2 linked regions of the Zea mays genome follow. Each later gene encodes a partner of the first gene's protein in a complex. Links are inferred from orthologs where the notes say so. Each region holds a gene or a part of one and is shown in the gene's direction. Other genes may lie near its edges.

Region 1 (4,259 bases):
ACTCCCAAGTAAGCATGCCGGGTCCCTTGGATGGGGTCCAGATCCCTCCGAGTAAGGTCCGGGCCACAGCGAGGTCCTGGGACAGGGGATACCCTGGCGTAAGCAAGGGTCCGGTACTGACACGTGTCCAGGCCTTATCCTGTGCGCTTGCGCTCCCCGCTCAGGCGGAGACCCGATGCTGCCACGTGACTTGTTGCCCGTGACATAAGCCAGCGGGCGGAGCCTGACGTAAGGCCTCTAGGCCACGCGGTCTCTGCATTTATTGCGGAGAGGACGCGCCGCCTGTCCACCCTGCTGACAGGCGATGTGCCCCCTCAGCATTTAATGCGTCCTGTCCACTCCGCTAGCAGGTCGCGCGAGGGCCATCCTGCAGACGGCGCGTCTGTCCAGTCCATTGTCAAACAGTGCGCCCGTGCTGCGCGACGCACTGTGTCCATCATCCCTTATACGAGAAGCTTCCCCTGCACGCCGATGCTATGCAGATCTCAGATGTCAATGCGCGAGAAGATTGCTCCAGCAGCGAACATTAGTAGCTCCAAGCACTATATCCGTTATGTTCCTGGGCCCACATGTCGGGGCTCAGCACCCTTGTACATGCATCCCTTTAGCTATAAAAGGGGAGTCATGCAACGTTACAACACAAGCTCTCTTAGACCAAACTTAGACAGAGACTCTCAGCTTTCAAGCTTCCACAACAATCCAACACACACTGGAGTAGGGTATTACGCTCCGACGACCCGAACCACTATAAATCCTCGTGTGTTCATGTGCTCGGTGATCGCTTAGCAAGACAGGCAAAACGTTTAAGCCCCTTCTTCATCTTAGGATTTAGGGCGGATACATTCTGCCACCCGGCCGAAGAATTCCCTCTCCAACAGTAGAGATGTAATGTTGTAATGTAATGTTATTATCTACTGTCTTTTGTATACCATTGAGCTAGGAATACAAATGTAAGACCAATTTACATGTATAATTTGTTTGAGACTAATTGTACATTCATTAAGTACCATATGAATGCTGTTTACATTTATATTTATATTCATTATCATTTATATTAACGTGGACGAAAAAATGTAGGCTAATAGAATTATATTTTGTGACCGCGAGTATTTTGTAACTAGACAACGATTAACACAAGAGAAGCAACATTTTTTTTGGGGAAATTTGGATCATACCATTAAAAGATCACCACTTTGGATCCATACCATTACTATCTCACTTACATGTGGGTCCACATGAGTCAATGACATGTGAGATCCATGGTATATATCTAAAGTTTGGATCTTTTAATGATATAGATCCAATTGTTCTTTTTTTTTGAGAGGGAGGAACACAAGAGAAGCACTAACGACACGAGTAGTACTGATCAGGGTCAGGGACCGTCCGTAGTTTCAGTCCCGCTCCCGCAGTCTGGTTCGTCTTCTCTTCTCCCCACCTGTCTCCACAATTCCCCATAGGAGGAGGGGGAGGTAGAGAAGCGCGAATGGAGAGCAGGAACGTAGTGGTGTGCGACAATGGTACCGGGGTAAGCCCTCCCCTCCCTGATCCACACCATCTCCGCTTCCTTCCTAGACTAGATCCGCCGCCCGTTCTTACTCTGGGTCACGCCCGAGTTTCTCGCGTACCACCCCGACGCAATCCGCTGCTGCTTCGGCCACCGACTCGGAGGAGCCGGTTCGTGAGTGGACCGCCGGTGGATGGATTCGGCTGGACGGTGGCTGGGAGCCATGGATGACTCGAAGCGAGACACGGTTGTTTGCTGGGGCATCGGTCGCCGCAGTTTGGTAGTTCAGGGGCATTGGATTAGCTTGAAACCACATTTGCTGACGCAGTCGGGAATTGTTATTCACAAACAATGGCGTGGGGTGCTCGAAAAGTTGGAAAAAATTGCTATTTTAGCCCTTCTAACGTGGGCTCTCTGTATATTCAAAATTTGCTGGTCAAAAATGTCTAGGTCTTGTGTTGACAGCGTATTTGGGTTAAGTTCCATCCCCCCCCCCCCCCCCCCCCCCCCAATTTTTTGTTCAGTTGAAAACCATAAATTATTTCATGAATGTCAGACATATAGTCTGTAGAACAATGCAGTTACTAGATAGATATATTGATGCACAGAAGAAATGTCGATTCAGCCTGAGGCTTTTAGTACAAGCTAAATTTTCTGTGTACATGTGATATCCTGCTGAAAATTTGGTGACCTTAATCTGCTCTCAGCTTTCGCCAGTATTATAATACATTATACGGACAGATGCGAGGCTTGTTGAGTCTCCGGTATGAGTAAACGACAATGAGCCAGATTACAAAAGTGGATGATTCATTCTCTAATTCCACACCTTCTGGTCGCAGTATGTGAAGTGTGGCTTTGCTGGTGAGAACTTCCCTACATCTGTGTTCCCTTGTGTTGTCGGACGACCGCTACTTCGCTATGAGGAGTCACTTCAGGAACAAGAATTGACGGTCTGAAACTATTTTTGTTACCATCTTTCTGGAACTTACTTCATGTTCATGGGTACATCTTATAATAGGTGCTTATGTTCGTTGCAGGATATTGTTGTTGGAGCAGCTTGTGCTGACTTGAGACATCAACTTGATGTATCATATCCTGTTACCAATGGCATTGTTCAAAATTGGGATGACATGGGCCATATCTGGGATCATGCCTTCTACAGTGAGCTCAAGGTATATCTATATTGCTGGTATGCTTTGCCCTTACTTGTTATGCCATACCCTTTCTCCAAAAAGTTGATATCCTTAATTATATATCCTAAGTCTCCCAGCTCTTGGTAAACTGAGACCTTTCTTTTTTTTCTTCATTTAGGTTGATCCATCTGAGTGTAAAATCCTACTGACAGATCCACCACTCAATCCCGTGAAAAACCGAGAAAAAATGGTATGCCATTTCCTTTTATCAATTTGTCACATACTGCCACATCTGTAGTTTCTAACATCAATGCGTAAAAAATTGAATCCCATGAACAGATCGAGACAATGTTCGAGAAATATAACTTTGCTGGGGTCTTCATCCAGATCCAAGCAGTTCTTTCACTGTATGCTCAAGGTCATCTCTCCCTCCTGACCATGTGCTCCTGTCTGGGGCTTTGTGCATCCACACAAGCACATACAAGATCACATTAACACTCCACTCTACATGTATTTATTATATGTTTCAGGCTTGCTAACTGGACTTGTGATAGATTCTGGTGATGGTGTTACTCATGTGGTATGTCAATACCGTTCTTCCCTATATTTGACTAAGTATTATGGTTTGAGAGGGGGGGGGGGGGGGTAATTTCTAATCATCTTCGTGTAACCAGCTCAAATATCATGGTAGCATCATATTAACCCAGAACACTGTAGGATGGAATTTTAAATAGTGCGCCAGTCAATGATTCAGTACGCTGTATGAAAGCCTTTAAGAATTTGGGATCTTTACATTTATAAATTAGAGATCAATCACATATGAATAATAGCAAAAAGATATAACACTATCTAATTGACCATTGTATATTATCTGGTTTTTAAACTATGTTTGAATCCTCTGCATCTCATGCTCTTTTTTGTTTTCAGCGTGTCCTTTTGATGTTTTTACATCATTTTCTTTTAAAAAAACTACAACCATGCAATTTTGCTCATGTTGCAAAACCTATTTCCATTTGGGATATTAAGTTTGGACCAGAGATCAACCTTCTTTATCCCTGTGCGACAAGTGTCTACTTTAACAAATACTTTGATATGAAGCTTTTAATTTTAACTAATTTATTCCACTTCCAATCTTAAATTTGTACCTACCATCTTTTTCATGCATTCAGGTGCCTGTAGTTGATGGATACTCTTATCCACATCTGACAAAGAGAATGAATGTAGCTGGAAGGCATATAACATCTTATCTTGTTGACCTACTCTCAAGGAGAGGGTAATACCTATCTTTCTCTGAAGATTTCTTCTGCAGTTGCTGCTACATTATTTTTATAATTCAATTAATTCTCCCACTTTAAAAGGTATGCTATGAATAAATCTGCTGACTTTGAGACTGTCAGAGAAATAAAAGAGAAGCTATGTTATATAAGGTAAGTTGTTTTATTTTCTTAATTATTGTTTCTGTCTTGCTGGATATCTAGTCATGACAGTTAAATTATGTACAGTTATGATTACAAACGAGAATACCAGCTAGGACTTGAGACCACAATCCTTGTGAAAAGTTACACTGTAAGTATGTTGTCCTGCTTCCATTTCTTCCCTGTACCTTTTCTTACTGTAAGCTT
Region 2 (3,827 bases), on another chromosome or scaffold:
CTGCAATGGTGCTTCTGTTCTGATCTTTCAACGTGTGTGGTGTCCATGTGGGCCTAGTGGTTTGTGTGGGGTAGGTTGGGATGGATGAAGGGGGTGCGTAGTGTTTAGGTGTTTTTATTAATGAAATGTAGTTATCCTATGTGTTTGAGAAAAAAAACTTTTTTGTTGGCATAGCTACCCTGCTAAAGCCTTGGCATTACTATTCTGCTGAGGTCCCTTTCATTATGACACAATCGATGTGAACATCTTGCTTGCTTCTTGTTTAAATTTAGGAATTTGTGGAGGCAAGACGAACAGCTGCACTTAATAATGTTCCTTCTTGTATGTGGTCTCCGGTACCACCTCTTGAGTTAAAAGGAGTATCTGCTGATGCACTAAATGCAAATGCTGGCTTTGTTACTTTCGGTAATTTGCGCTTTTCCTAGTGTCCCTTGTTCCTCCATGAAACTATTTTGCCTCACAGTCTTTTAATTTGTGCAGTTGTTTACCCTCGGCATGTTGAGGGTAAAAAGCTAGATAGAACAGTTTGGAATTTGTTGACATTTCATGCTTATGTAAGCTATCATGTAAAGGTAAGGCCCTTTAATCTGGTGCCATTTGTTTATATGGAATTACTGAGTTACTACCAGCAACTTCCCTTGAATATCTGGGAATTCACTAATCATGGCGAATCAGAACATTTCATATGGATGGCTGGATTTGACTGAAACTGAATTGATTTGTTTGCTTCAAATGACATTATCGTTGTTTATCTCTACTCTATAAAGCACCGGTTTCCTGGTTTCCACGGTCGTTGTGCGTCACCCTTCCTACTTTATGCAAAAATAAGGTAAAATTGTACATAACTGAGGTTTGAAATTTGGTTGTTGACTCTACAACCACACCAACCTTACCAACATAACACACATATTTTTATGTTTTATTAAAAGAAAGTCTATCTATATGATATATAGAAGCCATAACAATGCACATGCACGTGTATTTGACTAGTGCCAAGTAATATGTGACATTCTTACCATGCCTCGAATATACCCAAAATACAATTTTTTTGGAGAAGTCCTGGGATTTGGGCAAATAATCTGGGAAAATTTGTTACAGATGGGAGCAGAGAAAGGAAATTTTGGGGTGCAGTGTATTTTCACAGCGTACACTAGCTTCTGATTCAGAATAATAGAACCAAAGGACTCTTCTTTGACCCATAACCCATATTAACAGCTGGCTTGAGTGGTGATACAACCTACTCCTGGATCAATCTGTACTTGCAGATGGCTATCTTGGGAGAAATTGGGAGTAGTTTCTAACCATACATAGCCATCTCAATGTTTGTACAACACTATATTTGGGAACATTTGACATTTATGTTGCTTGTGCTTTGTATTGGTTCTTGGCTGCTTACTAGTAAGCATTCAATACTCTGCATCTCTGGACTAGCATCGGCTCTTATTGTGTTCTATGTGCAAACCCAAGTCCCAACATACAAACCCCAAATATGTAAATCAATCAGTCTAAAATCTTTGTTCTAACAACTCCATCTTGCACTACTACTGATATGCAGAGGAGCATACATTATCATGTGTCAACACATTACTTATATTATTAATATAAACAAACCGATAGATTATCATGTGTCAACACATTACTTATATTATTAATATAAACAAACCGATACCTTCGTTGTTATTGTTGTCTCTTATGATTTTTATTTTCTTTTGGAAGCAATTTCTGTCATAGTAACTATTAGCCTTCTATGAACTTTTGATATTAGTTTTACACTAATTTGTTACTTATAATTTTGCAAGTTCTCAATTGCCATGGTTTCTTGTATCAGTGTTCTGAAGGATTCATGCATACCAGGATGAGGCGCAGGGTTGAGTCGCTGATCCAGGTAGACTTGAAACATTCTTTTATTGGATCAGGTCATTCTAGAGATCTTGTACTTCATATGATTGTTGAACACTGCAACTTGACCAACAACCATCAGCATTGGTCTTAGATCCCAGGAACGTCGTTGTTAACTAGGACCGTACAACCGTCCTTATCGATCTACCCTAGGCTAGCGATGTTTGCTATCAACGGGGCAATGAAGTAGACGCCAACTAGCACCTATTGCTATCAACCATGGAGCCGTCGTCGAACCGTACGGTCCCGCAGCCGCTGGTGTCGAGCTCATAGAAGGTCATGTGCTCCTCCGTATTGTGGTTTGTTGCGCTGGTGTAAGGATCTCTCGAGATGAACAAACATTTGGTTCTCGTCGAGGTGGATCTCCGACGCCAGAGTGGGGCTGTCTTCGTGGGAGGCGACCTGGTGTCATTGGCGGATAGGGGTGACAATGGGCTCTAAATTTTACACTATAAGATTTAAGGACCGGATCGGATTAGGATCGGGCTCTATTTCTATTCATTTTTGAACTAAAATTTATTTAGTACCCTACCATTTTGTGAAGAAGCATTTGGATCGCGATCCATTACCACCCCTATTGGCGGACGCCAGAGCTACGAGCGCCACATGCTCTGGCTCCTCGCCGAACACCCACCGTGTGCTGCCTCCGTCCTCGATCTGGAGGTGAGTCCATCTCTAGCTCCAAGTGATGCGATATTCGCCGACGGTTGATGGATTTGGGGAATATGGATGCACTGGTGCCCCCTTTTGCTCACCTCTTCAATTTGGGCCATGGAGGCAGGGCCCAAAATCAACGTCCCTTCAGTGGGCTCCTCCCTGGTGTGATCAGTCTGGGTCTGTTCGTCCATCTTCTTGCGACATTCATGAGCCCAATACCCGTTATGCTGCCACCACATCATGCTCACGATTTCTGCCCGATTGTCGCTCGAGCTTCGACTACCAGAGAGTTGGGGCCGCGACACAACATGTGCCATCAACTCAGCCTTGGTCAGGTTTAGGCTAACTAAGGCTCCACCGCTTTAGTGAGTTTTTTTGGCGTTGCCAAACTACACCACTATGATACACACAATTACAAAGGGTCAAAAGGAAACTATCCATCAGCTATCAATTAGCTAAGAAAGGGAACTAATCAATGATCAACCAGCTAAGAAAAAACTAATCAATCAGCTATCAAATAGCTAAGAGATGAAACCAACCAATCAACTAAGAAGGAAACGAATAAACCCAGCTGGATTATGCAACATGATTGATCTTCGCTATGTGACTTCAGAGCTTTAGTTGGTTTATTTTTTCACAAAGGTGTAGACCAGATCTCAGCATAGGTTTTATCTCTCCAAACTGTGTTTGATGATGATCCACCTTGAGTTCGAGGGGAGGTGTTGGATGGCTATGCATGTGTCCTTATCGCGTTCGTCCTCATATATAGAATCCTTGTTGTATAGGGGGTCTCTATCCTGTATCGCTGTATATATTCGGGCCTAGTGCCCCCATATTATAATAGCTCTTTTCATTTAAGATGATCCCTTGAGAAAATAGGGTATCCTAGGAATTGACAGTTTGTGAGATAAAGTAAATGACGCATATAATCCTCTTTTAATTGTAGAGAGAGATTGGGATTACCATATTTGAGTTGGTTATAGGCATTAATGCTGCCTTTTTAAACTAGAATGTTTTTGTATGTGTGGGTGGAGGCGGTGGTATTTCACCTATAATCTCTTATAATTTTGGACAAATTATGAATGCTTGATGCCTTATATTTCAGGATAGAGACAGGAATATATTTTATAAATATTTCTAGAGAAATTTTTTAAAAAAGATTGACCTAGGACAAACTTAGACTTATATTTGTGATTGGAGGAATTTAGTACTTCAATATCTACACTAATCTTACATAGTTCATTCATAAATAGTAACTCTTAGTATCCTTT

Evidence for each region.
Region 2: actin-related protein 2 (region 1) and Actin-related protein 2/3 complex subunit 2A share a complex: the UniProt entries of both Arabidopsis thaliana proteins name them as parts of the arp2/3 complex. The link is inferred for Zea mays from reciprocal best matches to the Arabidopsis thaliana genes ARP2 and DIS2.

The regions. Positions count from the first base shown.
Region 1 is NC_050102.1:183,446,144-183,450,402, reverse strand, and holds the start of actin-related protein 2, read left to right. Parts: upstream 1-1,328; 5' UTR 1,329-1,483; coding exon 1,484-1,525; intron 1,526-2,343; coding exon 2,344-2,454; intron 2,455-2,541; coding exon 2,542-2,676; intron 2,677-2,815; coding exon 2,816-2,887; intron 2,888-2,976; coding exon 2,977-3,055; intron 3,056-3,167; coding exon 3,168-3,217; intron 3,218-3,806; coding exon 3,807-3,910; intron 3,911-3,995; coding exon 3,996-4,064; intron 4,065-4,139; coding exon 4,140-4,203; intron 4,204-4,259. UniProt on the Arabidopsis thaliana protein: Functions as ATP-binding component of the Arp2/3 complex which is involved in regulation of actin polymerization and together with an activating nucleation-promoting factor (NPF) mediates the formation of branched actin networks.
Region 2 is NC_050097.1:239,327,506-239,331,332, reverse strand, and holds part of Actin-related protein 2/3 complex subunit 2A, read left to right. Parts: intron 1-272; coding exon 273-405; intron 406-480; coding exon 481-572; intron 573-1,828; coding exon 1,829-1,885; intron 1,886-3,827. UniProt on the Arabidopsis thaliana protein: Functions as actin-binding component of the Arp2/3 complex which is involved in regulation of actin polymerization and together with an activating nucleation-promoting factor (NPF) mediates the formation of branched actin networks.